3 linked regions of the Macaca fascicularis genome follow. The protein of the gene in region 3 interacts with the protein of the main gene of each other region in a biochemical or structural test. Links are inferred from orthologs where the notes say so. Each region holds a gene or a part of one and is shown on either strand. Other genes may lie near its edges.

Region 1 (9,951 bases), on a different chromosome or scaffold from region 3:
CTCAGTAGCCACATAACCACAGTAATGTGGGGCTGTGGGGCCTAGTAGAGGGGCCACATCCCTTGACCATTAGACAGAAGGCTTCCTAAAGATAGTAACAGTTGACGCAGGTCTTGAGGAAAGAGTAGGAACTGTTCAAGTGGAGAGGGATCTGGAGTTAGTGGGGCAATTCTGGGCCAGCAGAGCTTTGAGAACAAAGGCCTGTGTGGTCTCCTTCCCTTGCAAACTGCAGGCCCCTCCTCTCCCAGCCCACCAGCCTTGATGGGGTAAGTGGCCCCTGCCCAGCCTAGCAGCCCACTTCAAGGGCCACTGTTCAGCCTTAGGCCAAACAGGCAAAAGTGACAGGAACACAAGGCAGATGATAGACAGGTGAACAACTGTGGGGCGCAGACACTGTTTATTGAGTGGCAGGCACAGGAGAGGTAGCTGACTCCGGTGTGGAAGCGGAGGTGGCAGGTCATGCCAGGGTGCTGTGGGCATCTGGCAGCCAGGGCCACGCCCCCATCCTAGGGGGACGGCACAAGCTCACTATGACAGGAGCAGCAAGGAGCTGGCCAGAGGAGGGGGCAGCCACGACCCCCAGGATCCTGGGCAAGAAGTGGCAAACTTGGCACAGGGGCTTAGGGTGACGGGGACTGGGGCCTGGGTATTCTGTGGGGGAGGGAAGGGGATCACGTCTGTGGGGTGGAGTAGAGACTGTGGTGGTGGCCACCTGGTCCTGGCACCTGGGAGAAGAGCAGAGGAGTGGTCTTCGTCTGGCTGCCCCCATACCAGCCCGGCTCACGCCCGATGGCGCCATACCAGCTCCCAGAGCCTAGACTGCCTGACATACTGCAGCAGAGAAACAGGGTCAGTCTCAGGACAGTGACCAGGGCCACAGTCACAAGAGCTGCAGGAGGAACAGAGGCTTAGAACAGAACCCCTGTGACCTAGACCTTCGGGGCCCAGGGCAAAGTACATCTCTAGGCAAGGGATGGAGGCTTTAGCCATAGGAACCCAGGGGACCTCACCTAGTACAGATGGGGAAGCAAAGGCCATGGCAGGGGTGGAAGGGCAAGACCCGGCTCTCTCAGTCCCCCATAGCTCGATGGAGCCAAGTGGGTGGTGGGGGCAGGGGTACTGAGGCAGTGCCATGGCTCCTACCTGGTGCTCTCACCCCGGCTGTGCTCCCAGGAGCAGCCCTCATCTTCACAGTGCCCAGCCCGGTCAAAGAAGTAGGACCGGGAGGCAAAGACCTGCCCATTGAGGATGTGGCTGGTGCTCTGGAGAAGGAAGCCATCATCGATACTTACTCCTGTCCCACACTGTTCTCCCTGCCCATCCCCAGATGCCAACCCAGGATTCCCAGCATCTGCCCCTCTCCACTGGGCCCACAGGGGAGGGTGCAGACCCTTACCAGGTCCTGTGGGGGCCGGTGTACCCGGAAGAAGCCCACCAGCAGGGTGGTGGGCAGCAGCTCCCACACGAAGAGGATGAGGCCAAATACCAGGTAGCCTTTGTTCCCCAGGTCATTTACCAGGTCCGCCTGTGGGAAGGCAGGGGCTGGTGCCAGTCTGCAGTCACGCCAAGGGGGCAGTGGGACAGGGCCCAGGCCAGCTGGGGCCAAGGTGCCACGGCTACTAAGGAGGTGGCAGACATGCGTATGCCCACCTGATCAGACACATTGTACCAGTCGTAATCGAAGGTGTCCAGTCGGCTCTGGGGGGCCAAGGCCAGTGCTGTCAGGTTGTAGCAGGCCCGGCTGGCATAGAGCAGGACCATGGCTCCACCCATCGCGGCCGCCTGGCACACACTGGTCCCCTGGCACAGGTAACAACAGAGGACCCTCAGGGAGAGAAGGCTCCCAGCTTCCTCTACACCCTGAGAACCGCTGCCCAGAGATCCCAAAGGACACCTGGGCATCAGTGCTGCGGCCCTACCTTGGCCTCCAGGTAGATGCTAGTGGAGGGGGCCCGCCTGGCGACGAGGCAGAGGCAGGCAGCAAGAGACAGCGCACAGATGACGAACAGGGAGTCGCTCACCAGGACGCGGACAAGCAGCAGGGCCCAGGGCTGTGCCCGGCGCCGATGGGAGAGCACAGCACACAGCACGTTCACCAGCAGAAAGAGCAGCGAGGCCCCCACAAAGGCCCCTCGGACAGCCAGCCTGCAGCCACAGCACAGTCAGCCCGGGCCCTCAACAGCCCTCAGCACTCACCACCTGCCCCACCTCCTGCAGGAAACCCCAGTGTCCACAGAACTCAGGGCATCCAGTCTGAGCCCTGTTCCTCCATTCTTATAGATGGAGAAACTGAGGCTCAAAGAGGTCAGAAGGTGACTGACAGCCATGGTACCTCGGAAGGGGCACCAACTGGAGTCAGAAGTCTCCGTCTGAGCCCCAGCTCTGCGACCTTGATCCTGATGCCTTACCTGGCTGGGCCTCAGTTTCTTCATCTCTCAAGGGAGGAGAGTAGCCTCTCAGGGAAATTGTACAAATGAAAGATGGCTGGGAAAGCTCTTTATAAACCGTAAGACACTGTACAAATGACGAGGGCATTGCGGCCCCAGGTCACCCAGGAGTGCATATGGCTTTGGTGCTTCCATGGACTGGAGCCTCCAGCTCACCCTCCATGGTGGATGCCACTGGGTTCCTCTCCCTCACACTACCACAACCATTCCTATTCTTGTGCCTTGCAGATCTGCAACGCCTCTGCTGAGCCATCTGCGCCAGGTGCTTTAACTTTTCCAAGCTCTTCCACAGACATTCCCTGGGTTGTCTTTGTCTCAGCCCTGAGAGGTGGGAAGGGATCTACATGGGACTGTCCCCTGCCCCTGACCTGGAGGTTGAGCCCACCAGTGTCCCGAGTACTTACAAGCCTCGGCTCATCTCCGGCCGACGCTTCGCCTTGGCCTTGAACACCACCTAGGAGCAGAGATGCCCTTCACTCCCGTGGGTCCTTAAGGCTTGCCACCTCCCACCCCCCACCCGGGACCACAGTTGGTTACCTGGGCAAAGTAGAGGTTCATAAGCGTCAAGGTGAAGAACTGCAGGCAGACGGGGCAGCAGTAGAGAAGCCAGAAGGGCAAGGGCCCCAGGCGGTTGGCGCGGGGAGTATCTCGGAAGTAGAAGGAGAAGAGAGTGGTACGCAAGGCAGCCCAGAGCAGACAGAGGGCCAGGAACACCGTCTGATAGCTGAGACGCTTGTGCCCATACAGAAGCACCAGCCAGAGCTGGGCATAGACGGAGAAGAAGAGCAGGGCATACAGGGTGGTGTAGGCAGCCGTCAGCCCCAGGGTCACAGCAGGTGGCAGCGCAGGCACCAGCCCGGCAGCAGGCACCAGGCCAGACAGGTTACTCTCCATGTCAGGGAGGGAGGCCTGAATCCCGGAGACAGAGAAGGAGGGGCTGTCGGCAGGGCCAGGGTAATAAATACGGAGGGGTGGGAATTGCAGGGTGCAGAGAGGGAGATGGGGCGCTGAGGAGGAAAGAAGTTGTGGCTGACAGGCCCCTCCTCCTCAACAGAGAGACCCTTGCCCTTGGGGAACACGGGCAGCCTGGGCCCCAGGCCCCTCACTCAGGGGCATGGAAGGGCAGTCTCTTCTCTCCAGGGCAGACCGGGTGGGGGTTGGGGGTGTCTCCTCCCTGGGCCTACCCCAGAGTCAGGGATGGGGGGATGCAGAGGCCCAAGGAGCGGAGTCCCTGGCCTCGGTCGCTCGTGTCGTCCTGGCTGGAGGGGGAGAGCCAGCCGATGCCCGTCGGGTCAGGGCAGCGGCCGCTGCAGGGGGCGCCCAATGCCCCGCTCTCCCCCTCCCCAAGCTGGGGGAGGCTCTCCTCCAGTAATGCGGATGGGGAGGGCCTCTGCCTTCTGTCCTTGTAATTCTCGAAAGCTGCCCCCCGCCCAACCCCCCCCCACCGCGTCCACTCTCCAGCCTCAAGGGGCGGGAGGAGGCGGATGCCAGGTCCTCAGGCCGCTGATGGGAGAGCCGGCTCAGGTCGTGGGGACCCGGGGCTCCGGCTCCCCGGCTCCCGCTGCTCCGCCCCCTCCTGCGCCTGCGCGGGCGCTGTTCGCTACGCAAATTGCGCAGGGGCCCGACCGGCTCCGCAGTCCAGCGCCGCACCCGGCGTGAAACCGTACGAGAATTGGCGCGAGCTGCGCCGCTGGCGGGCGCCCGGGGTTACGGGAGGCGGCTGGAGGGCGGCCGAATTGCGGGGGCCGTGCCGCATCCAGGGGGTCCCCGGGTGGGCTGTGCCTGGGCGGTCCGCCTTAACTTGTATGGGGGGCCGCCAATTCCCACGCTCCTCTCTCCTATACCCAAATCGGGGTCGTGCCACCCAGCCGGGGGCGGCAACGGATTCCCGTCCCTCGGCCTCTGAAGAAAACTTCCGCCCATAGCCAAGATGGCCCCCGGGCCCCGCCCCCGGGCCTGAACCCGCGGAGCCCCGAATCCCCAGCGCGGGCCCGCCCCCCGCCCCGGCGCGCCCGCGGCCCTGCTCACCTGGCCGGCCGCCTGCCAGGCCTGAAGCCCCCACGGATCCTACGGTCCACCCTCACCGGGTCCCCGGCCCTCCTCCCGCGCCCGGGCAGCCATCCCAGCCAGGGAGGAGGTTCCTCTCCTTATCTCCAGTGCCCCCGAGGTGGCGCGGGAGGTGTCCCCCGAGGCGGGCGGCGCGAAGCTTCCACGCCTGGGAGGAGGAGCGGGGAGCGGGACTTTCCGACCGGGCACCCAGTCCAGGCGGAGCGGTAACAATAGCAACAATAATCGCATCCGACGGCTGAGCTTCAGTTGTGGCTGTGCCAAGCGCCTTCGCCCGCAGTAATCACTCCCTTCACAAAGTTTTCACTGGCTCCTGGGGGAGCTGTCACTATCCCCACTTCACTGGGGGGAAACTAAGGTCCAGAGGGGCTGAAGGACTTGTTGGCAGAAGTGGGTCTCCAGGTTCCAAATGGGGACCCCAGAGAATCCCTCTCCTGCTCCCACACACGTCCAAGGTGTGAGGCAGCGAGGATATGAGCACCAGGGCTGCAGGAGGGAGAAAAAAGGCTGCGGGCGAGTAGCCGTAGGTCCGGCGGGGAGGCGGGGCCGGGCCGGGTTGACCCCGCCTCTGGACCTACCCGAGTGACGTTCCGAGAGGTGATTGGGCCAGGTCGCTGACAGTTCCCGTTGCCCAAGCAACTAGGGCCGGGAGCCCGGGGTGCAGGAGGGAGGCGGCAGGCCCGGGTCAGGGGCCTCGAGATCGGGCTTGGGGTGAGACCTGTGCGCCGTCACCACGGGCGGGGCGGGGCCTGGGTAGGGGCCTGGGTCCACCAGGGTTCTAAGGGGAGATTGAGGCCCTGAGCCGACAGCATCAGCTCCCTGCCAGGCCAGACCCAGCAGACAAATGAGGGCCCGGGAGGCCTGGCGGGCCTGGGGGCCCTAGGGTGGGAGAGGGAGCCAAGGGTACCTGCCTCTGCCTTCCAGGGCCACCGTTGGCCCCAGCTGTGCCTTGACTACCTAACATCTTGTCCTCATAGCCCAGAGCATGTTCCAGATCCCAGAGTTTGAGCCTAGTGAGCAGGAAGACTCCAGCTCTGCAGAGAGGGGCCTGGGCCCCAGCCCCGCGGGGAACAGGCCCTCAGACTCCGGCAAGCATCATCGCCAGGCCCCAGGCCTCCTGTGGGACGCCAGTCACCAGCAGGAGCAGCCAACCAGCAGCAGCCATCATGGAGGTAAGTACCCCACCACCTCCACCTGCCGGGTCACCTCACCCCCAGCCCACTGGCTCCCTGCATCCCAGTTGTATCCACGGGCACTGAAGGCTTTGGGTCGGTCCCTAACCTCTCAGAGCCCCAGTTTCCTCTTTTGTAAAACAGAGCAATTAATAACCACCATTGTAGGACTGTTGAGTTAATTAGCAGGAACATATAGGATGCACTTGATTACAGAGCTGGTGCACATTAAAGCTAAAAAATGGTAGCTGCCAGGCATGACGGATCACACCTGTAATCCCAGCACTTTGGGAGGCCAACGCAGGAGGATCGCTTGAGCCCAGAAGTTCAAAGCCAGCCTGGGTGACTTAGGGAGACTCCATCTCTTAAAATATGTATATATATATATGGCAGCTCTCAGTGTGGGGCCAGGACAGAAATTAGTGACAGGCAGGCAGGCAGTGATCCGAAAAGGAAAAGGGGCCTACCTAAGGCCATACCTGCCTGGCATTTCTTTCCTTAGAAGGTGGGGGCTGGAAGACTCCTTGGTGCCCTGCCCCAGGCTACATGCTTTCCCTGGGATTGGGCCTTCCAGCTCCCAGATGTGTTCTTTCTTGCCCCGAGGCTTGCGCCCACAGCAGGCCTGTCCTGGCACAAAGGCCAGGGGCAGGTGACCTCAAGGGGCAGACGGTCCTCCCAGACAGCAGGGCTGTGTGGGGTGGGAAGCACAGGCTCCAAGATGGAAGGATAGACACTGGGGTTCAGTGTCCATTTCTCAGTAGGCTCCACCACCCCTGTGCCCAGCACTGGCCTTGGCACCTGGAACAACAACATATATCTTCTGAACACAAAAACCAGGTCAAGCCAGGTGGGGTGGCCCATGTCTGTAGTCCCAGCAGCTCAGGAGGCTGGCTTGAGCCCAGGAATTCAAGACCAACCTGGGCAACATAGCCAGACCCCATCTCTAAAAATAGAAAACTAGGTCATGTCACTCTGGCACTGAAGCTTAAACGACCTCCTTCCCATTTTCAGGATTAAGAAGGCTTAAGAGGCCTCCTTCCCCTCCCTCTCTTACGCACAAACACACACACTCAGTTCTCTCAGATTGGATCCCATAGCTTGCTTTCTTTTTTTGTTGTTGTTGTTTTGTTTGTTTTGAGACAGGGTCTCGCTCTATCACCTAGGAGGGAGTACAGAGGTGTGGAGTACAGAGGTGTGACCTCAGCTCACTGCAGCCTAGAACTTCTGGGCTTAAGCGATCCTCCCACCTTACCCTCCCAAGTAACTGGGAATACAGGTGTGTGGACTACACCTAGTTAATTTATTTTTAACTTTTTCTTTTTTTTTTTTTTTTCTGAGACAGAGTCTCACTCTGCCACCCAGGCTGGAGTGCAGTGGTGCAATCTCAGCTCACTGCAACCTCCGCCTCCTGGGTTCCAGCAATTCTCCTGCCTCAGTCTTTCAGGTAGCTGGGACTACAGGCATGTGTCACCATGCCCGGCTAATTTTTTGTATTTTTAGTAGACATAGGGTTTCACCATGTTAGCCAGGGTGGTCTCTATCTCCTGACCTTGTGATCCGCCCGCCTCGGCCTCCCAAGGTGTTGGAATTACAGGCGTGAGCCACCACGCCCGACATTTTTCATGTTTTCATTAGAGACGAGGGCAGGGGCGGGTCTCCTTTTGTTGCCCAGGCAGGTCTCAAACTCCTGGGCTCAAACAATCCTCCTGCCTCAGCCTCCAGAACAGCTGGGACCACAGGTACATGCTGCCACACCAGCTCATTTTTTATTTTTTGTAGAGGTGGGGTCTTGCTTTGTTGCCCAGCCTGGTCTCGAATTCCTGGGCCCAAGAGATCCTCTCATCTTGGCCTCCCAGAGTGTTGGGATTACTGGCGTGAGCCACCATGCTCGGCCTCCACAGCTTTCTTTAACTTTCTGAGCTTGCACTTGGCTGTTTTTCTGCTCACAAACTCCCCCTGCTTTCTGCCCCCCGCCACACACACTCAGCATTGACTTGTGTCTCAGAGTGAGTGTTCACCATGTGACACAGGTTGTTCCAGTTGCTAGGGGGACCTCGGTGAACCCAAGCATCAGGAATCCTTGCCCTCGTGGAGCTTACATTCTAGTGACGTGGTGGGTCCATAAGCAAACAAGCACAAAAGTGCATCCTATCATGGATGAGAAGATTTGTATGGGGGCAGCATGTAAGAGTTAAGAGAAGCTGGGCGCGGAGGCTTACACCTGTAATTTCAACACTTTGGGAGGCTGAGGCGAGCGGATCACAAGGTCAAGACATGGAGACCAGCCTGGCCAACATGGTGAAACCCCATCTCTACTAAAAATACAAAAATTAGCCAAGCATGGTGGCATGCACCTATAGTCCCAGCTACTCAGGAGGCTGAGGCAGGAGAATCACTTGAACCCGGGAGGCGGAGGTTGCAGTGAGCCAAGATCACACCACTGCACTCCAGCCTGGCAACAGAGTGAGACTCCGTCTCAAAAAAAAAAAAAAAAAAAGAGTTAAGAGAATCCAGAGTCACGGGGCTGGGGGAGTGATGGTAGCAGAGGTGGTCAACACTCACTTGGTGAGAAGCACCACTGGAACCAAGGCCACAGGGATGATGGGAAGAGAGTTCCAGGCAGAGGGAAGGGCAGGTGCTAAGGCCCTGAGGGCAACACCTGCTCCCAGCTAGGGTGGGCCTAGAGGAGGGGGTTAGGAAAGGGTCTTTGGAGACCTAAAGGTGGAGGTCATTGTAAGGACTCTGACTTTGCCTTTGGGTGAAAACCTGGAAAGGCTTTGAACAGAGGCAGCATGGTCAGATTTAGACATTCAGAGAGTCACCAGGGAGGTGGTGAGAAGTAGCTGGCCTCTGGATTTATTTATTTATTTATTTATTTTTTTTTTTTGAGATGGAGTCTCGCTCTGCCGCCCAGGCTGGAGTGCAGTGGCCGGATCTCAGCTCACTGCAAGCTCCGCCTCCCGGGTTCACGCCATTCTCTTGCCTCAGCCTCCCCAGTAGCTGGGACTACAGGCGCCCGCCACCTCGCCCGGCTAGTTTTTTGTATTTTTTTTTTTTTAGTAGAGACGGGGTTTCACCGTGTCAGCCAGGATGGTCTCGATCTTCTGACCTCGTGATCCGCCCGCCTCGGCCTCCCAAAGTGCTGGGATTACAGGCTTGAGCCACCGCGCCCGGCCTATTTATTTATTTATTTATTTATTTTTATTTTTTTGTTGAGACAGAGTCTCGCTTTGTCGCCCAGACTGGAGTGCAGTGGCCGCATCTCAGCTCACTGCAAGCTCCGCCTCCCGGGTTCACGCCATTCTCCTGCCTCAGCCTCCCTAGTAGCTGGGACTACAGACGCCCGCCACCTCGCCCGGCTAGGTTTTTTTGTATTTTTTAGTAGAGACGGGGTTTCACCGTGTTAGCCAGGATGGTCTCAATCTCCTGACCTTGTGATCCGCCCGTCTTGGCCTCCCAAAGTGCTGGGATTACAGGCTTGAGCCACCGCGCCCGGCCCTGGATTTATTTTTAAAGCAGAACTGGCAGGATCTGCTGATGGACTGGATGTGGGGTGCGAGGGAAAGAGAGGAACCAGGATGATGCCAAGGAATTTTAAAAAAATTATTAGGCTGGGAGCGGTGGCTCACACCTGTAATCCAAGCACTTTGGGAGGCCCAGGCGGGCGGATCACGAGGTCAGGAGATCGAGACCATTCTGGCTAACATGGTGAAACCCTGTCTCTACTAAAAATACAAAAAAAAAATTAGCCGGGCGTGGTGGTGGGCGCCTATAGTCCCAGTTACTTGGGAGCCTGAGGCAGGAGAATGGCGGGAACCCGGGAGGCGGAGTTTGCAGTGAGCCGAGATCACACCACTGCCCTCCAGCCTGAGACAGAGCGAGACTGTCTCAAAAAAAAAAAATTATTGTTGGCTGGGCGCGGTGGCTCATGCCTGTAATCCCAGCACGTCGGGAGGCCGAGGCGGGCAGATCACTTGAGTTCAGGAGTTCAAGAGAGCCTGGCCAACTTGGTGAAACCCTGCCTCTACTACAAAAACACAAATTAGCCAGATGTGGTGGTGGACAACTGTAATCCCAGCTACCTGGAAGGCTGAGGCAGGAGAATCACTTGAACCCAGGAGGTGGAGGTTGCAGTGAGCTGAAATTGTGCCACTGCACTCCAGCCTGGGTGACAGAGCAAGATTCCATCTCAAAAAACAAAAAATAAATAAAAATAAAATAAATTATTATTAATTTTAGAGATAAGGTCTTGCTATGTTGGCCAG
Region 2 (9,680 bases), on a different chromosome or scaffold from region 3:
GCCCCCATGTCCGGCTAATTTTTGATTTTTAGTAGAGACGGGGTTTGAGCATGTTGGCCAGGTTGGTCTCGAACTCCTGACCTCAGGTGATCCATCTGCCTCAGCCTCCCAAAGTGCTGGGATTACAGGCGTGAGCCACGGTGCCTGGCCCATGACAGCTTTACTTAATGATGCTTTTTGCAAAGAGATTTGTGTCCTTGCTGCTAATTATTAATCACTTTTTGAATTTAATCAACTTTAAAAAGTCATAGTGTATATATTTTAAAGATAAATACAAACAGCACGTATATTTAAAATGTACTACAGCATTCAGACATGGTTGCTCACGCTTGTAATTCCAACTCTTTGGGAGGCTGAGGCAGGCAGATCACTTGAGCTCATGAGTTCGAGACCAGCCTGGGCAATAGGGCAAAACCCTGTCTGTACAAAAAATACAAAAAATTAGCCGGGCCTGGTGGTGCGCGCCTGTTGTCCCACCCATTCAGGAAGCTGAGGTGGGAGGATAGCTTGAGCCAGGAAACAGAGGTTGCCGTGAGCCAAGTGTGCACCACTGCACTCCAGCCTGGGTGATAGAGACAAATCTTGCCTCAAAAAAAAAAAAAAAAAAGTAAAGTACTATAGCTTAACACTGTTTCAAAAAGCTAGAGAAAAAAAAAAAAAAGGTAGTAAAACTTATTTTGTGCTTTGGCTGAAATACGTATTACTTGGTCCAACTGGTTGACCAAAGGTTTACACAGGGGGAAAAAACCATTTATGCAGTAAAGTTTATCATCTCAGCAATCATATAGGTGAATCTCACTATTTTTAAATTTAGGTACAAAATATAAAACTCACATTAAGAAATACTAGAAAATCAAGGTAAGTTAACAAGTATGTAAAAAATAAATGAATGCAGGGAGAAATCTAATATAGTAATCAGCCTTACTGGGTAATAATATCCCATGAGCTGTCTGTTAAAAAAACGCAAAAAACACTGGACTATATGGAATGTTCTTTCTCATTAAGATAGAAAGCTACAAAAACCTTTTTGGCCAAAATAATAATTGAAATAAGTAGTCTGTTTAGAAGTGTAAGAACCTCAACAAAAGAGTTAAATTCACCTCGTGAGTTAACTCTTAACCTGGCTTGCTTGCCTCCTCATGTACATTTTGATCATTTTACTAAAACTTTTAAAAACTGGAGCTAAACAGGAAATGAGGACCTTTAAATAACAATTTCCTGTCACAAACTATTTTTCATTCAAATAAAAAGTTTTTCATTTAAAGAAATAAAGACAAGATGGCAGTTTCCCTTAGTTTAACAGGTCATGTAAGACCTAAAAGTAAAATCAGCTCACTAACTGGTTAATAAGGTCTACTTACATAATAAAATGCCTCAAATTGTATGTTAAAAAATGAAGAAGCTCTTTATGTGCTGATACAAAATTGCTAAGTTTAAGGCATGTTGAGTGGTGGGGGGAAAGCATGATATAGGAGAGTGTATACACCGTATGCTACCATTTGTACAAAAAGGGGGAGACAGGACATACATATTTGCTCGTGTTTGCATAAAACACCTCTTAAAGGACATATAAAAAATTGCTAACACTTAGGTAACAGGGCAAGAGAATGTAGGGCATTTTGCTGTATTATATATGTTTTGAATTACAGATCATCTGAATGAATTACTTATTCAAAAAAACCAAATTGGAAATATAAAAAATATACTCCTCACTTCACCAAAGGTGATCCCTTTTTCCTTTGACTACTTTCTTTTGACACATAATTTGTCTTAGTCACTGTGTCTCCAACAGTTCCTGAGGGTAGAGATAAGACAATGTAATTCATCTTTGGATTTGTTGTAGCTTCTGATCCACTGTATTACATATAGTAATAATAAATAATTTAAAAAGTAACAGGCCGGCTGGGCGTGGTGGCTCACACCTATAATCCTAGGCATTCAAGACCAGCCTGACTAACACGGTGAAACCCTGTCTCTAATAAAAATACAAAAATTAGCTGGGCGTGGTGGTGCATGCCTGTAGTTCCAGCTACTAGGGAGGCTGAGAAAGAAGAATCACTTGAATCCAGGAAGCAGAGGTTGCCATGAGCTGAGATTGTGTCACTGCACACCAGCCTGGGCAACAGAGCGAGACTCTGTCTCAAAAAAAATTAAAAGAAAAAAACCTTGTCAACACTTGAGCACTTGACACTTGTACAACGCCTGGAACTTAGTATGTATTACTTTATAGTTAATCCCCACAATTCTGAGGTAGTTATTCTACATTGATCAGAAAGGAAAGTGAGGTATCCAGAAGTTAAGATAACTTGCCTAAGGGCCCACAGGTAGGAAGTTAAAACAAAGCTTAAGGGACTAGCTATCATTAGTTGTAGCCCTAAGGTACTTTATGTTTATCTCACAATCTTATGAAATAAGTAGTAGTATTCTAATTTTACATATAAGGAAACTGAGGCTGAGAAAGATTAAGAAACTTCCTTTAGGACACAAAATTCCTTTAGAGTAGGTACAGGAGAGTAGTGGCAATGCTTGCATTCAGATGTAGGCCTGTGATTCCAAACCTCATGCTCTTTCAACTACATTCTCTGTCACAGTGAGTGCTAAATAAATATTTGAATTACCATAAACTGTTGTCTCAAGTGATACTGCCGTAGAGATGAGTTCACATATGGGTAAGAAAAAGAAAATTCCTGCATTTTTCTATCTTGACATCTTACTACACTCTTAAATTTAGATTTGAGCTCTATTCAATAAAGAAGCCATCAAAGTTACACCATATATCAAGATATTTGCAAAACTATGTCACAAGCTGGCTGTAAACAAGTTTATGTAACTGATATCTGATAAGCTATTTATGGAATAAATGAAATTATAAATTTTGGTAATATACTGTAAGCATTAGGTTAAAAATAAATAATTTTCCCTACTGTTATAAAAAGGAGAAAAAATTTAAAAACAGGTGAAGAAGACACATACTTGGTTTTACTATAACCCCATAACCTTACTGTACCCAAACAACAAAACCAAATGTCTTAGAATGAGAGAGAAATAAAGCTACTTCTCTATGAAGAAACCAAAACTTCTAATAATGAGACCTAATCAGGCATATGAGTTTCAGAAAGTAGAAAAAGAAAGGTGCCATTTTTATGGATCAGGTTTCTAAGTTTCTTCAGGCTCTTTATGTAGGGGGGGAAAAATTCATTCAAAACAGGTAACACTTAAGTTTTAAATTCCCAAAGAAGTGTTCTTTTAACATTCTTCAAGCAAATTCTGTCAAATAATTTATTAGCTTTCTAAATGCAGGTGTTCATGGGGAAAAAAAAAAAAAGATTCAAGTGGATCCAGCTGTAATTTTTACCGATGGCTGGAACAGTGGAGAAGTACAATTTAGTCACATGTTCCAGGTGAATGTTCACAATATTAATGAATATAAAAGTTTGAAGTTCCACCTGGAATTGCTAAGAATCACAAATTATGAATGTATAAATAATAAAATACGCTGGGCAAGGTGGCTCACACCTGTAATCCCAGCACTTTGGGAGGCCGAGGCAGGCGGATCACAAAGTCAGGAGTTCGAGACTAGTCTGGCCAACATGGTGAAACCCCGTCTCCACTAACACAAAAATTAGCCGGGTGTGGTGTCCTGCGCCTGTAATCCCAGCTACTCGGGAGGCTGGGGCCGGAGAATCTCTTGCACCCGGGAGGCGGAGCTCGCAGTGAGCCGAGACCGCCCCACTGCACTCTAGCTTGGGCAACAAGGGCGAAACTCCATCTCAAAAAAATAAATAAAAATTAAAATAAAAAATACAATTTAAAATATCTCTTGGGCAAGACTGAAGAAAGAACGTATCAGTAAACAATTTTTTTTTTTTTTTTGAGATGGAGTCTCGCTGTGGCCTGGCTGGAGGGCAGTGGGGCAATCTTGGCTCACTGCAATCTCCGCCTCCTCAGCTACCCTAGTAGCTGGGATTACAGGCATACGTCACCACACTCAGCTAATTTTTGTATTTTCAGTAGAGACGGGGTTTCACCATGTTGGCCAGGATGGTATCGATCTCTTGACCTCGTGATCTGCCTGCCTCGGCCTCCCAAAGTGCTGGGATTACAGGCGTGAGCCACCGCATTCGGCCATCAGCAAACAATTTTTTAAAAATCTCACACATGAAGAGTCGTATATTCTTTTTGTTTGTTTGTTTTTGAGACGGAGTCTTGCTCTGCTGCCCAGGCTGGAGTGCAGTGGCACAATCTCAATTCACTGCAACCCGAGCCTCCCGAGTAGTTGGGATTACAGGCGCGTACCACCACACCCAGCTAATTTTTGTATTTTTAGTAGAGATGGGGTTTCATCATGTTGGCCAGGCTGGTCTTGCACTCCTGACCTCAAGTGATCTGTCCTCCTCAGCCCCACAACATGCTGGGATTATAGGCCGTAGCCACCGCACCCGACTTACATTCTTAACAAACAAACAAACAAACAAACAAACAAAAATCTACTCAACTGATAGTGGCTTGCAGAACATCATAAAGGAAAAACGGTAACTCACCATTATCAATATAATTTTTTCAGTGTTTGAAAATAAAATCATTTTCCCAATCTTTATAGAAAACCTCCCTTTACCGCATCTTCTTAAGTTTCTTGTAAATGACAAATTGCTAATGTGGTCTTTTAAAGAGAAGCAATACAACAAAGCACATTTTGGAAAAGTGACTAGGATACAGAAAAATAAGACAGTGCTTCTGGTGCCAATCAGTATTTGTTCCTAACCAGAAGGTTTGTACGTGTCGATCACAATGCAATCATACAGTGACAGACAAGTATTTTTAAAACAAACTTGTTCGTCTTTTGCACCACCTAAAATAACTGTTCGGGGCTTTACTTTTAAATCAGGAAATGAGCCATAAATGTAAAATACTTCAATAGGCAGCAATCAAAAGTATCTTCTACTAAACCTTCAGAAGGCAGACGCCAGCTGAGGTTAGAATTATAACTTGGGATGATATTACAAACTTAAATAGGTCATACCGCATGTCCTTTAAAAATTCTTTTAATTTTTAATGTGTCAATGATTTTTCTGCTGTCCTCTTTTCCCAACAGGCGAAGAAAAAATACAGCTTGTGGCTTAAATTGTCAATCTCAAGACGGGGGTTACCTACTGCATGAGAGAGAAATAATGGATACTTTAAAGTCTATTTTTAGAAGAAGTATTAAATCTCTCATTAAAGTTCACGAAGAAATTCGTGGGAAATATGGTAGGGGGAGTGGGACAGGGTGAGGGGAGATCCAGATAACTCAAACGCGGTTGGCAAGGTTGCACCCCGCGAAATGATGTAAAACAAGAGTACATCGGCTGATAATTCGTTTCAACGAAGTGTTTCAAAATGATAGACCTCGAGTAATGATTACCTTATTGAAAAGGGTTAAAACCGAAACTGTTTTCAAACGCCAGCTTCCCTTTTATAAGATCCCAACAGTTTAAAAAGTTATTATGTTTTTCTTAGCACCCTCTTTCTCCCAAAAAGCATGCATTTCCATAACTACTGACTTAAAAAAAAAAAAAAAAAAAAAAAAAAGCAAGGGGGTGAAGGAGTAAAAAATTTCCCCCCAAAACACAAGCTCTCATCTCTCAACTAAGCAGCACAGGGCAGAAAGCAGCATTTCCTCAACGGTGTGGGAGCGGAGGGGAAAGGGCATGAATAAAATACAGCACGAGAGGAAACCTTGGGTTTCGAACTTTATTGCACAAAGAGTGGAGAGAAGAGTAGGTCAGACGTTGCAGCTCTTCCCCTTGCGAAGCGGGCATGGCAGACACCGAGGCCACTGGGAAGGCAGCAGGCACCTTCACCTCCTCTGCCCTCAACTGTCGCCTTCTTCCTCCTCCACCCCCCACCGGCACCTAGGCGGCGGCTGCCCCGGAGGCCAGGCCGGGTCGGGCCGGGGGCGAGGCGGGCGGCGGGGGCCGGACGAGCGAGCGGCGCGGGGGGCAGCGCCGGGCCGAGCGGGCGGCCTCCCCCGGGGCGGCTCCGGGCTCCCGGCTCCGCGCCCGGCCCGGCGGCGGCGGCGGGAACGCGGGCGCCAGCTCGCCGCGGCCGGCCGCCCGCACACACCCCCGGCCGCCGGCTCCCACCCCGCCCGCCGCCCGCCGCCCGCCGCCCCCCGCCATGAGCGCCGCCGCTGGCTGCAGGCAGAGTCGCTGCCGCCCCGGCCGCCGCTGGCTCCAGTCCGCCGCCATTATTCTTTGTTCGCTGCGAGCGGCGGCGATGTTGTGGGGCTCGGGCGGAGGCTCCATCTTTACCGCGGCCCCTCCTGCGAGGGGAAGGCCCCAAGCGCGGGTGTCCGGCGCCTCCCCGTCCCCCCTCCGTCCCCCCGGCTCTCTCTGGCTCCTGCCTCCTCCTCCTGCTCCTCTTACCGGTGGTACAAGCTCCTCCGTCACTGCTTTCGTTCACGGCCCGGATCTCGCTGGAGTTTTATTCTCTCCCCCACGTAACACACCGCGTCAAACTACACCTCCGCCGCGTCACTCACCAACACTCCGCTTCTCCCAGCCGCCCGGGCCACAGGCAGCAGCAGCCGCCGCCGACTGAGGAGCCGCAGCCAGGGAGCCAGCCAGCGCCGCCCAGTGCCGAGTGCGCAGCGGCCGCGCACGGAAACAGCCGAGCTGGGCCCGGAGCAGCTCGAGCGGCCCCGCCCCCGCGCTGGGGACGGAACTTGCCGAAGGCCTTCGGGTTTCTTCGCGCGAGGCGGACGGGTTCCGCCGGGAGAGGGAAGGCGAAGGCGGGCTGAGCCCGGCGCCGGGAGGAGTGGTCTAAACCCCAGCGCGGCGTTCGGATCGATAAAGCTGGCGGCGGAAATTTGAAGGAGGAAGCGGGGTTTGTGTGTGGCCCAGTAGGGGAATTCCTGAGGGGTGTCGGCAAGTTGGTGGAAACCCCCACGCAGGCCTGCCTCTGTGGCGGTGAGCGGCGGGCTAAGAAGGCGGCTGCGGCTGCCCCGGCTCTGGTCTTGACCGCCGCGAGCTCCGGGAACTTTCCGACGCCGCCGGGAGACGGGGGACCGCGGGAGCCGTACGGGTTGGGGAGGAAGGTCTGCTGCGCCTCTGCCAACGTCCCGGCGCCTGGGACCCGGGGACGTCGTGGGACCCCCGTGGGGACGGGTTTTCCTTTCTGAGACTCCGCAGAGAAACCTGGCGGCCGCCGGCGGAGCATGCTTTTCTGAGGGGCTTTGGCCCCGGTACTGTGGCACCTCCCGGGGCTCTGCCCGGGCCGTCGCTCTGCCCCGGCCGTGGCTGACGTCGACGGCCCTCGGAGGCCTCCGAGCCACAACCTGCCGGGACCGCTGGAAATATGCCCCATCCCACCTGCCCGCCCTTCTCCAGACAACATCCTGTGTGGCTTGCTTTCTTCAGCCTGTTTTCTACAGCAGGGATTCGCACCCACTGCACCCTAAACCCAGCAGGGGGACTTCCGTGGCTGGAAACTACTGAACTGCTCTCTCAGAGGTCGCCCAGGACCACACCACTAGGTCCCCATTCTCCCTGATAGTGAACTCTGCGCCCCTCTCCCTGGGGTTTCAAGTCTTTTTTTTTTTTTTTTTTTTGAGACGGAGTCTAGGTCTTGTCGCCCAGGCTGGAGTGCGGTGGCACGATCTCGGCTCACTGCAGCTTCTGCCTCAGCCTCCCAAGTAGCTGGGATAACAGGCACCTGCCACCACACTTGGCTGATTTTTGTGTTTTTAGTAGAGATGGGGTTTCATCATGTTGGCCAGGCTGGTCTGGAACTCCTGACCTCAGGTGATCCACCCGCCTTGGCCTCCTAAAGTGGTATGGTTACACGCGTAAGCCAGCGCGCCTGGCCTCAAGTCTTAATCATTATTTTTCTGTCCTTTAAAGGAGACGTGTCTTTAGGAAGTAGAGAGTGTTCAAATCTGGACTCCGCCCATTACTCACTTCTCTTGTAAGGAACTGTCCTTCCTGGTACTCCAGGTACCCTACTGTTTTCTCATAGACTTTGCCCTTAACAAGTCTCCTTTCCTTCTGTTACTCTCAACGTTTCCTTCTCTACTGGCTCTTTCTTACTAGTATTTAAACATGCTTAAGTCTCTCAATTCTTTAAAAAGATTTCTCTTCTCCCTAAATTGCTCTGCAACAACTCCAGCTGTCTCTTACCCCTGGACAGTCTCTCACATCCCACCTCCCAGCCCTCTCCAGTGTCCCCACTGCTCACCTGAAGTGGTTCTGAATTGTCCACAGACAAGCTTCATGTCTGTAAATGCAGCGGATCGTTTTCAGTCCTCATTTTACAAGCCCTCATCCCAGTATTTGACACGTTTGACCACACTCTCTTCCAAATACCGTCTTCCCTCTGGTCTTATGTCACAGGTTTCCTCTCTACCTGAGTTTTCTCTTTAACAACCAGCCTCTCCTTCTTGATCTACCTCTTACACATTGGAATCATGCTGAGCTGAATGAACCCTGGCCTTCTTACTGAGTCTCCCCATACACTTTCCTAGGTGGTCTTATGCTCTCCCAGTAGCATCAAATACCTTCTGTCAAAGACTCTTCAATCCATAACCCAAGCCTAGGTCTTGCTCTGGAACCCTATATTCATAGTTCCAACATACTGCCTTTGGTACACTTTTCATTTGGATGACTTAGGGCATTTCAAACTCAGCCTGTGTATCATAATTCCTTCGAAATGCTCCTCCCATAGTCCCTGGTTCAGTAAAGGGTATCTTAACATCTACTCAGTTCATGCAAGAAACCTAACACACCTCCAACACACAGCAGAATCACCTACATCTGTCTGTTTCCTGGAAAATTGGATTTGTGACCTCTCTGTTCCCATGACCATTTTTTCATTCCCATTTTAGTCTAAACCACTGTGGTCTCTTGCTTGAAGTCCCACAATAACCCATTCAGGTCCTCGAAAACTGCTCTTCCCTCATTCCAATACATTTGCCAAACTGCTGCCAGAGTAATTTTTTAAATATAAATCTGATCATTGACCTGCTTAAATTCCTCCAGTGGCCTCCCTTTGCTTACCACACATTGTCTAAGCTCCATTATCTTGTCTTTCTCTCCAGCCTTTCCATCTGTCCCCTTAGCTACCTGCACTCCTTGCATAGTATTTTAATTTTTTCCAGGCTCTCCTCTTTTTATGCCCTACTGTAGGCTCTCACTTCAGGGTATTTACGCATGCCCTTCCCTTCCCCTGGAATTCTTTTCTCTCACCCATTCCTCCTACCTAACTGTAATTTATCACTTTCTTTTCCAATTCCTACTTCTCATTATTTGGTTAGTGTCCATGTAATTGTGCAGGTAGGGACCACATCTCTCTTGTTCACTACCAGCTTTTCCTCTCCCTAGCAACAACACAATGTCTAGAATATAGTGGTACTTGTTAAATATTTATCGAATAAATAGTGAATTTCTGAGTGGTCCCGGGCAAAGTTTCTCAACATTTGAGTTCAAATCCTGGCTGTCAGTGAGTTCAGGTTTCCGTAATAAAGTACCATGTAGACTTGGTGGCTTATAAACAACAGAAATTTATTTCTCATAGCTCTGGAGGCCGGATGTCTGAAATCAGGCTGCCAACATGGTCAGGTTCTGGTGAAGGCCCTCTTGAGGGTTGTAAATGGCTGTTTTTTCTCTTTATCTCACAGTGCAGAAAGAGAGCAAGAGCTCTTGGGT
Region 3 (9,183 bases):
TTGAGGTCAGGAGTTCAAGACCAGCCTGGGCAACATGGCAAAATCCTGTCTCTACTAAAAATACAAAAATAAGCTGGGCATGCTGGTGGGCACCTGTAATGCCAGCTACTCAGGAGGCTGAGGCAGGAGAATTGCTTGAACCCGGGAGGCAGAGGTTGTAGTGAGCCAAGATCGCGCCACTGCATTCCAGCCTGAGCCACAGAGTAAGACTCTGTCTCAACAACAACAAAAAATTATTACAGATCTCAAGACAGCAGCAGCAGCAGCAGCAAAGCATTAAACCAGGTGTAGGGTCCCTTGGAGCATAGACCCTTGTGCTTCTCTGGGTCGAACGCCCATGAAGCTGGCCCTGAGTGGCCTTTCCTGTTTCTCATGACTACAGCTTTGGATGGCACCCAAAACGGCTCCCAAAGGGTGCTCAACACGTGCCTGCAACTGTCATGACAACGCCACCAGATTGGAACTGGTATGATCCCCATTTTACATATGAGAAAACTGAGGCTCGGGGAGATAAGTCTCTTGCCTGGGGCCACACATCAGGAAGTACTGAGCTGGGAACTGAGCCCCGGCTGCCTGGGACAGCGTTTGTGCTCCCGGGTCACGCTCTTGCCATAAACCGGGTGCTGCTTTTGAGGGATGTTATTGAGGTTGGGTGACTCGCCAAGGGTATCGAGCTACAAATTGGCCGGCCCAGGAACTGAACTTGGGTCTACCAGAGTCCCAGCCTGACTCCTGTCCCCTGGTCTCCCTCCTCCAGGGAGCTTGTTCTTCCACAAAAGAGGGCAGCCACTGAGTGTCCTCAGCTCCGACCCCAGCCCTGGGGGCCAGAAGGCTGGGACCCAGTGCAGTGACCTTGCCCCTTGGCCACTGGGACCCCACCTTGAAGGAGAACTCGAGTTTGACGAGGAACGGAAAGTTGACGGCTTGCAGGATGCGCTTTTCATTCAGGGTATGTTCGATCTGTTTCAGCTTCACCACCTGGGAAGGGTGGGAGGGGAGGGCAGAGAGGAGGGGGAGGTGAGAGGGGACTCATTTCCCCTGATGCCTGGAACTAGGGATGCCAGAGCCAGGCCGGTTCCTTCAGCCAGAATCATTTGTGTGCCTGTGGCCTGTCGGGCCCTTGGCTGATGCTGAGGACACAGCGTCAGGGAGGCTAGGGGCTGCTTGTCCTTGCATGGCACAAAGTCCAGGGCAAAGAATACATGGGTTACCCCCAGAGATGTCAGAGCCGTGGTGGAGGGCATCTTGGGGTTGCGGAGAAGCAGCCCCCAAGAAGCCCATGTAAAGTACCTGGCATGGTCTGAGGAAGGGGGAGTCAAAGAGGGCTTCCTGGAGGAAGGGGCAGCTGAACTGAAATTGAAAAGACAGGCAGGAGAAGGCCAAGGGGTGGGGGGTTTAGGAACTGCCTTACCCTTGTCTAGAACACTCCACACAGCAACCTGAATCTCAGGCTAACTGCTCCTCAGCCATCAGCTGTCCCCAATAGCAGATGCCATGAGCAGGCACCTAGCACCTAGTCTCTCACTGAATCAGGACAGGAGCCCTAGAGGCCCATGCTGGGAGTATGCCAGTTTGGAAGACCAGACACAGAGAGGGGAGGTGACTTGCCCAAGGTCACACAGCTGGCTGATGTCAGGCTGGTGTGTCACATGTAGTCAGCCTGGTCCCTTGGTCAGCTGTCAACTGCTTTGCTCACACAGCTGTGTCCTCACAGTCTATACCTGCCCTGCCCAGTTCAGTCCCCATTAGCCACAGGGGGATGCTGGGCCCCTGAAATGTGACTAGTTGACTGGGGAGCCAAATTCAAAAATTTTAAGTATCTTAAATATAAATTTAAAAACTGACACCAGTTGGGCATGGTGGCTCACGCCTGTAATCCCAGCACTTTGGGAGGCCCAGGCAGGTGAATCACCAGAGCCCAGGAGTTTGAGACTAGCCTGGGCAATGTAGCGAGACCCCATCTCTACAAACAACAACAACAACAACAACAACGACAACAACAACAACAACAAAAAGCAATTAGCTGGGCATGGCACGACTATGGTCCCAGCAGCTTCAGAGGCTGAGGTGGGAGGATCATTTGAGCCCAACTGCACTTCAGCCTGGGCAAGAGAGCAAGACCCTGTCTCAAAAACAAAACAACCAGCCTGGCCAAAATGGTGAAACTCTGTCTCTACTACAAATATTAAAAAATTAGCTGGGCGTGGTGGCGGATGCCTGTAATTCCAGCTACTCAGAAAGCTAAGGCATCGCTTGAACCCGGGAGGCGGAAGTTGTCGTGAGCTGAGATCACACCATTGTACTCCAGCCTGGGCAACAAGAGTGAAACTCCATCTCAAAAACAAAACAAAACAAAACAAAAATTAAACACTTGATGTAGGTACTGGTGACTTTCAGGCATAGTTGGAACAACTTGGGCATGTGAATCTGCTTTTTCTTTTTTCTTTTTTTTTTTGAGATGGAGTCTCGCTCTGTCGCCCAGGCTGGAGTGCAGTGGCGCGATCTCGGCTCACTGCAAACTCCACCACCTGGGTTCACGCCATTCTCCTGCCTTAGCCTCCCGAGTAGCTGGGACTACAGGCGCCCGCCACCACGCCCGGCTACCTTTTTTGTATTTTTAGTAGAGATGGGGTTTCACTGTGTTAGCCAGGATGGTCTCGATCTCCTGACCGCGTGATCTGCCTGCCTCGGCCTCCCAAAGTGCTGGGATTACAGGTGTAAACCACCGCGCCAGGCCTGAATTAGCTTTTTCAACTTCCCTCCTTTTTCTCCTCTTTCCAGGAAAAATTTACCCTCAGAGTTGAGACCTGTTGTAAGCATCCAATGGACACTGGATTTTAAAGACACTTCAGTACAGAAAAAAAGGAAATATTTCCGAAGTCATGAAGGACTGGGAAAAAAACAAAAGGAATGTAAAATGTTTCATTAATGATATTTTCACATTGATAATATATGGAAACGGTAATACTGTAGATATACTGGCTTAATTAAAACATATCATTAGGCTGGGCGCGGTGGCTCACATCTGTAATCTCAGCACTTTGGGAGGCCGAGGCAGGCAGACCACCTGAGGTCAGGAGTTTGAGACCAACCTGACCAACATGGTGAAACCCCGTCTCTACTAAAAATACAAAAATTAGCCAGGCGTGGTGGCGGCGTCTGCAATCTCAGCTACTTGGGAAGCTGAGGCAGGAGAATCACTTGAACCTGGGAGGTGGAGATTGCAGTGAGCTGAGATCACACCACTGGGCGACAAGAGTGAGACTCTGTCTCAAGAAAAAAAAAAAAACAAAAGCCCCAAACATGTCATTAAAATGAATTTCATGAATGTCATCTGCTTCTTTCACTTTCTTTTTTAATTACAATTTTTTTTTTAAATTTTTATTTATTTATTTTTTTGAGACGGAGTCTCGCTCTGTCGCCCAGGCTGAAGTGCAGTGGCCGGATCTCAGCTCACTGCAAGCTCCGCCTCCTGGGTTCACACCATTCTCCTGTCTCAGCCTCCCGAGTAGCTGGGACTACAGGCGCCCGCCACCTTGCCTGGCTAGTTTTTTTTTTTTGTATTTTTTAGTAGAGATGGGGTTTCACCGTGTTAGCCAGGATGGTCTCGATCTCCTGACCTCGTGTCCACCCGTCTCGGCCTCCCAAAGTGCTGGGATTACAGGCTTGAGCCACCGTGCCCAGCCACAATTTTTTTTTTTTGAGAGATGAGGTCTGGCTGTGTTGTCCAGGCTGGAGTTGAACTCCTAGGTCCAAGTGATCCTCCTGCCTCAGCCTCTCTGGTAGCTAGGACTATAGGCATGCGCCACCATGCTTGGCTCTTTTTACTGTTTATGATGGAGCAAAGAGAAAATTTAAAATCGATTCTGTGGCTTGGGTTACATTTCTGTTGGTTACATTGCTGCTTTATAGCAGTGCCCGGTATAAAGTTGGATCACAAAAATATTTACGGGAAGAAAGTCCACGTAAACACCGCTTTCCCCAAGAATGCTCCTGGCCTCCTCCCTTTGGACTGGTGTCTGACCCTGTGTCACAGTGCCCGGCTTTGAATGCATGGCCGGCCTGGAGAGGGAGCTTTGGGAAGGCAGCACAGGGCCCTTTCGACCCTTGGAGCTGGCACATTATGGGGGCTCGGGGAATAGTGGGTGAGCCTGGCGTGGAAGCTCATGTCCGTAATCCCTGCGCTTTGGGAGCCTGAAGTAGATCACTTGAGGCCAGGAGTTCAAGACCAGCCTGGGCAACACAGCAAGAGACCCCCTGCCTTAAAAAAAAAAAAAAAAAAAAAATTAGCCAGGCATGGTAGTGTGTGCTTGTAGTCCCAGCTACTCGGGAGGAGCTCAGGAGTTTGAGGCTACAGTGAGCTATGATCACGTCACTGCACTCCTGCTTGGGCAACAGAGCAGGATCCTGTCTCCCCGCAAAAAAGCAAGTGGCCAGGCGTGGTGGCTCACACCTATAATCCCAGCACTTTGGGAGGCTGAGGCAGGTGTATCACCTGAGGTCAGGAATTCGAGACCATCCTGGCCAACATGGTGAAAACTCATCTCTACTAAAATTACAAAAATTAGCTGGGTGTGGTGGCGGGTGCCTGTAATCCCAGCTACTCAGGATGCTGAGGCAGGAGAATCGCTTGAACCAGGGAGGTGGGGGTTGCAGTGAGCCGAGGTCGCGCCACTATACTCCAGCCTGAGCAACAAAGCAAGACTCTGACTGGAAAAAGCAAAGCAAGTGAGTGAACGGGTGGATAGGGCACTCCAAGGAGTGGGCACAGTCCAGGCAAAGGCGAGGACGGGCCACCTCACCTTCTGTTTGTCGAGGATCTTCATGGCATAGTGGTTCCCGGTCTCCTTGTGTTTCACCAGCATCACCCGCCCGAAGGAGCCCGTGCCGAGGGTCTTGATTCGTTCAAACTGATCCAAGTGGGCTGTGTTCTGTGGGCAGAGGGGTCGGCAGGCTCAGGGTGCATCCTCCCCGCGGCCTGCTGGGCTAAGGTCTGAGGCATCCCCTCTGCCACCGGCAGAGGGGGCCCCGGGGAGCACGTAGGGTCAGCGGGGTTGAGGACGGGGGCGGAAAATCAAGATGGCAGAGGGTGCATTCCTTAAGGCGGGTGGCAGGGGCCAGATCCGGCCCTGGCCTGGGGCCTGGGAGCTGCTGGCAGCTGTGCTAGGGGCAGGGGCGGGCTGTTGGAAGGGGTGGTGGGATGGGGGTGCCTGGCATTGGGCAGTCAGGTGTCTCCACACAGGAGCCCTCATGGGTACCTAGGGAGTGAATGGGGAGGATCTGAAGCCTTCCACGGGGTTTCTGAAATTCTAGCTGTGTTGCTGGGACGCAGCTGGGGGCTGGGGGTCACCAGCTCACCCCTCCCCGGACTCTGTACCCGGTGGCCTTACCTGAGCGGGACTTTCCCATTTTTTAAGAAAATCTTCTTTGGCTTTGGCTAAGAATTCTTTCACTGAAAGGGAGACAGGGGAGGGTTAGACAGAGACCTCCATTTCACCGGGGCGGGTTCAGGTGATTTCTGGGGAGATACTTGGTAGAAATTGGGGTGCAGTTCCCTCAACCTAGAGCCTGACCTTTTTATGGTGCCTCTGGGGGCCCTGGCCGGGCCGTGGCCTGGGCCTCCCTTGCTACAGAGAGGTGGGATCCAGCTGCTACTCCATCCAAAGTGGGGTACAGAGAGTCTCAGGGGTCACCCCCAGGGGAACGGAGGGAGGCACCCAGGCAGGCCAGCCCACCCCCACTCGCCCCAGTTCTGACCGACATTCCACGGCCAGGGCCGACGCCAGCCGAGGTATTTATAGCCTTGGGATTTGGCTGTTCCTCTGGCCCCTTCTCTGGGGAGGCTGGGCCTGGGATGGAGGCCTCGGGGGCTCGGGTAGCAGGCGCCCTTGGGGGGCTCAGCTGTCACCTTGGCCCCCAGCTGGCCCTGTTCCTCTCGTGTCGATCGCAAGGGCATTGCTCCAGAGCTGGTTCAAGGGAAGTCTCGCCCGATGCCCACTCCTCGGCCCCACGGCATCCCAAGGCGAACATCACCGCCTGGCTAACGTTGAAACTTCCCCGGCAGACCCTGTGCCGGCTGCTGTCTACACTGTCTCATCTGACTCGCTCGGCAACCTGCCTTGTATCCATTGTGTCCGTTTAACAACCCAGAAAACAGGCTTGAAAACAGTCATTCTTATCTCTGCTGAGACGCAGCCCAGCAAAGTGGCTAAGGGCCAGGACTTGGGGACAAGATCCAGTTCAGAGCCCAGCCTGGTCTCCGATGAACTCTGTGACTTTGGGCAACTGATCTCACCTCTCAAGGCCTCAGTTTTCCTCATCTGTAAAGTGGGGTGGTTTTTTGGGGGTTTTTTTTTTTTGAGACGGAGTCTCGCTCTGTCGCCCAGGCTGGAGTGCAGTGGCGCGATCTGGGCTCACTGCAAGCTCCGCCTCCTGGGTTCCTGCCATTCTCCTGCCTCAGCCTCCCAAGTAGCTGAGACTACAGGTGCCCGCCACCTCAACCGGCTAGTTTATTTTTTTGTATTTTTTTAAGTAGAGATGGGGTTTCACCGTGTTAGCCAGGATGGTCTCAATCTCCTGACCTCATGATCCGCCCGTCTCGGCCTCCCAAAGTGCTGGGATTACAGGCTTGAGCCACCGCACCCGGCCTGTGGGGTGGTTTTAAGGAATGAATGAGTTCATCTTGGCAAAGGGAGTTGAACAGTGGCCCATGTGATGTTAGCGCCAGATAAATGTCAGCTACTATTATTTTTTATTTATTTTTAAAATTATTATTATTATTATTATTATTATTATTATTGAGATGGAGTCCCACTCTATTGCCAGGCTGGAGTGCGGTGGCACGATCTCAGATCACTGCAACCTCCACCTCCCAGGTTCAGATGATTCTCCTGCCTCAGCCTCCTGAGTAGCTGGGATTACAGGCACCTGCTACCACGCCCAGCTAATTTTGGTATTTTTCGTAGAGACGGGTTTCACCATGTTGGCCAGGCTGGTCTTGAACTCCTGACCTCAGGTGACCTGCCTGCCTTGGCCTCCCAAAGTGCTGGGATTACAGGCATGAGTCACTGCACCCAGCCTATTATTTTTTAAATTGAGGTATAAAATATGAGGAGAAGGCCGAGGTGGGCGGATCACGAGGTCAGGAGATCGAGACCATCCTGGCTAACACGATGAAATCCCATCTCTACTAAAAATATTAGCCAGGTGTGGTGGCGGATGCCTGTAGTCCCAGCTACTCGGGAGGCTGAGGCAGGAGAATGGCGTGAACCCAGGAGGCGGAGCTTGCAGTGAACCGAGATCGCACCACTGCACTCCAGCCTGGGAGACAGAGCTAGACTCTGTCTCAAGAAAAAAAAGAAAAAAAAAAAAAAACATATGGGGAGAGAGGCTGGGTGCAGTGGCTGACGTCTATAATTCCAGCACTCTGGGAGGCTGAGGTGGGCGGATCATGAGGTCAGGAGTTCGAGACCAGCCTGGCCAACATGGCGAAACCCCATCTCTACTAAAAATAAAAAAATTAGGCCGGGCACGGTGGCTCACGCCTGTAATCCCAGAACTTTGGGAGGCCGAGGCGGGTGGATCACTTGAGGTCAGGAGTTCAAGACCAGCCTGGCCAACATGGTGAAACCCTGTTTCTACTAAAAGTACAAAAAAATTAGCCAAGCATGGTGGCTGCAGAATCGCTTAGACCCGGGAGGCAGAGGTTGCAGTGAGCTGAGATCATGCCATTGCACTGCAGCCTAGGCAAGACTAGAGCGAGACTCTGTCTCCAAAACAAAACAAAACAAAACAAAAAAATTAGCCGGGCATAGTGGTGTGTGCCTATAATCCTAGCTACTTGGGAGGCTGAGGCAGGAGAATTGCTTGAACCTGGGAGGCAGAGGTTACAGTGAGCCGAGATCATACCACTGCACTCCAGCCTGGGTGACAGAGCAAGACTCTGTCTAAGAAAAAAAAAAAAGAAAAGAAAAAATAAAATAAAATATGGGGAGAGACTGGCCATGGTGGCTCACGTCTATAATCCCAGCGCTTTGGGAGGCTGAGGTGGGCAGATCACTTGAGGTCAGGAGTTTGAAACCAGCCTGGCCAACATGGTGAAATCCTGTCTTTACTAAAAATACAAAACTTAGCTGGGCACGGTGGTGCATGCCTGTAATCCCAGCTATTTGGGAGGCTGGGGCAGGAAAATCTCTTGAACCTGGGAGGCAGAGGTTACAGTGAGCCGAGATCGCACCAGTGCACTCCAGCCTAGGCGACAGAGTGAGACTCTGTCTCAAAAAACAAAACAAAACAAAAAAAACAGGGAGAGCTGGGAATGGTGGCTCACACTTGTAATCCCAGTGCTTTGGAAGGCCGAGGTTGGAGGATTGCTTGAGGCCTGGAATTAGAGACCAGCCTGGCCAACATAGCAAGACCTCATCTCTACAAAAAGTAAAACAATTAAAAAATTAGCTGAGCATAGTAGCAGTCCATGCCCGCAGTTCCAGCTACGCAGGAGGCTGAGGCAGGAGGATCTCTTAAAACCCAGGAGATTGAGGTTGCAGTGAGCTGTGATCGCACCACTACACTCCAGCCTGAGCAAGAGTGAGACTCTGTCTCAAAAAAATAATAATACTCTGGGAGGCCGAGTTGGGAGGATTGCTTGAATTCAGGAGTTCAAGACCAGCCTGGACAACATCAAAACCCTCTACAGAAGGCCGGGCGCGGTGGCTCAAGCCTGTAATCCCAGCACTTTGGGAGGCCGAGACGGGCGGATCACAAGGTCAGGAGATCGAGACCATCCTGGCTAACCTGGTGAAACCCCGTCTCTACTAAAAAATACAAAAAACTAGCCGGGCGAGGTGGCGGGCGCCTGTAGTCCCAGCTACTCGGGAGGCTGAGGCAGGAGAATGGCGTAAACCCGGGAGGCGGAGCTTGCAGTGAGCCGAGATCTGGCCACTGCGCTCCAGCCTGGGCGACAGAGCAAGACTCTGTCTCAAAAAAAAAAAAAAAAAAAACCCTCTACAGAAAATAATAACATTAGCCAGGTGTGGTGTTGTGCACCTGTAGTCCCAGCTACTCAGGAGGCGGAGGTGGGAGGATTGTTCAAGCCTGGGAGGTAGAGGCTGCAGTGAGCCATGATTGAACCATTGCACTCCAGGCTGGGTGACAGAGTGAGGCCCTGTCTCAAAACAAGAAAAG

The links.
Region 1: the proteins of PRKACA (region 3) and BAD form a complex in vitro, tested with the Homo sapiens proteins (2 studies listed by BioGRID, with this or other methods). The link is inferred for Macaca fascicularis from reciprocal best matches to the Homo sapiens genes PRKACA and BAD.
Region 2: the proteins of PRKACA (region 3) and CREB1 form a complex in vitro, tested with the Homo sapiens proteins (2 studies listed by BioGRID, with this or other methods). The link is inferred for Macaca fascicularis from reciprocal best matches to the Homo sapiens genes PRKACA and CREB1.

The regions. Positions count from the first base shown.
Region 1 is NC_088388.1:10,105,575-10,115,525, forward strand, and holds the start of BAD (bcl2-associated agonist of cell death), read left to right. Parts: upstream 1-4,434; 5' UTR 4,435-4,793; exon of another isoform or gene 4,794-5,056; intron 5,057-5,161; exon of another isoform or gene 5,162-5,267; intron 5,268-5,491; 5' UTR 5,492-5,499; coding exon 5,500-5,686; intron 5,687-9,951. Other genes in the region: integral membrane protein GPR137, read right to left, coding at 458-725, 1,144-1,262, 1,397-1,525, 1,651-1,800, 1,920-2,145, 2,852-2,901, 2,985-3,341. UniProt on the Homo sapiens protein: Promotes cell death. Successfully competes for the binding to Bcl-X(L), Bcl-2 and Bcl-W, thereby affecting the level of heterodimerization of these proteins with BAX. Can reverse the death repressor activity of Bcl-X(L), but not that of Bcl-2.
Region 2 is NC_088386.1:103,473,659-103,483,338, reverse strand, and holds the start of CREB1 (cyclic AMP-responsive element-binding protein 1), read right to left. Parts: upstream 6,592-9,680; 5' UTR 6,405-6,591; intron 1-6,404.
Region 3 is NC_088393.1:14,521,488-14,530,670, forward strand, and holds part of PRKACA (cAMP-dependent protein kinase catalytic subunit alpha), read right to left. Parts: intron 5,453-9,183; coding exon 5,391-5,452; intron 4,932-5,390; coding exon 4,803-4,931; intron 979-4,802; coding exon 880-978; intron 1-879.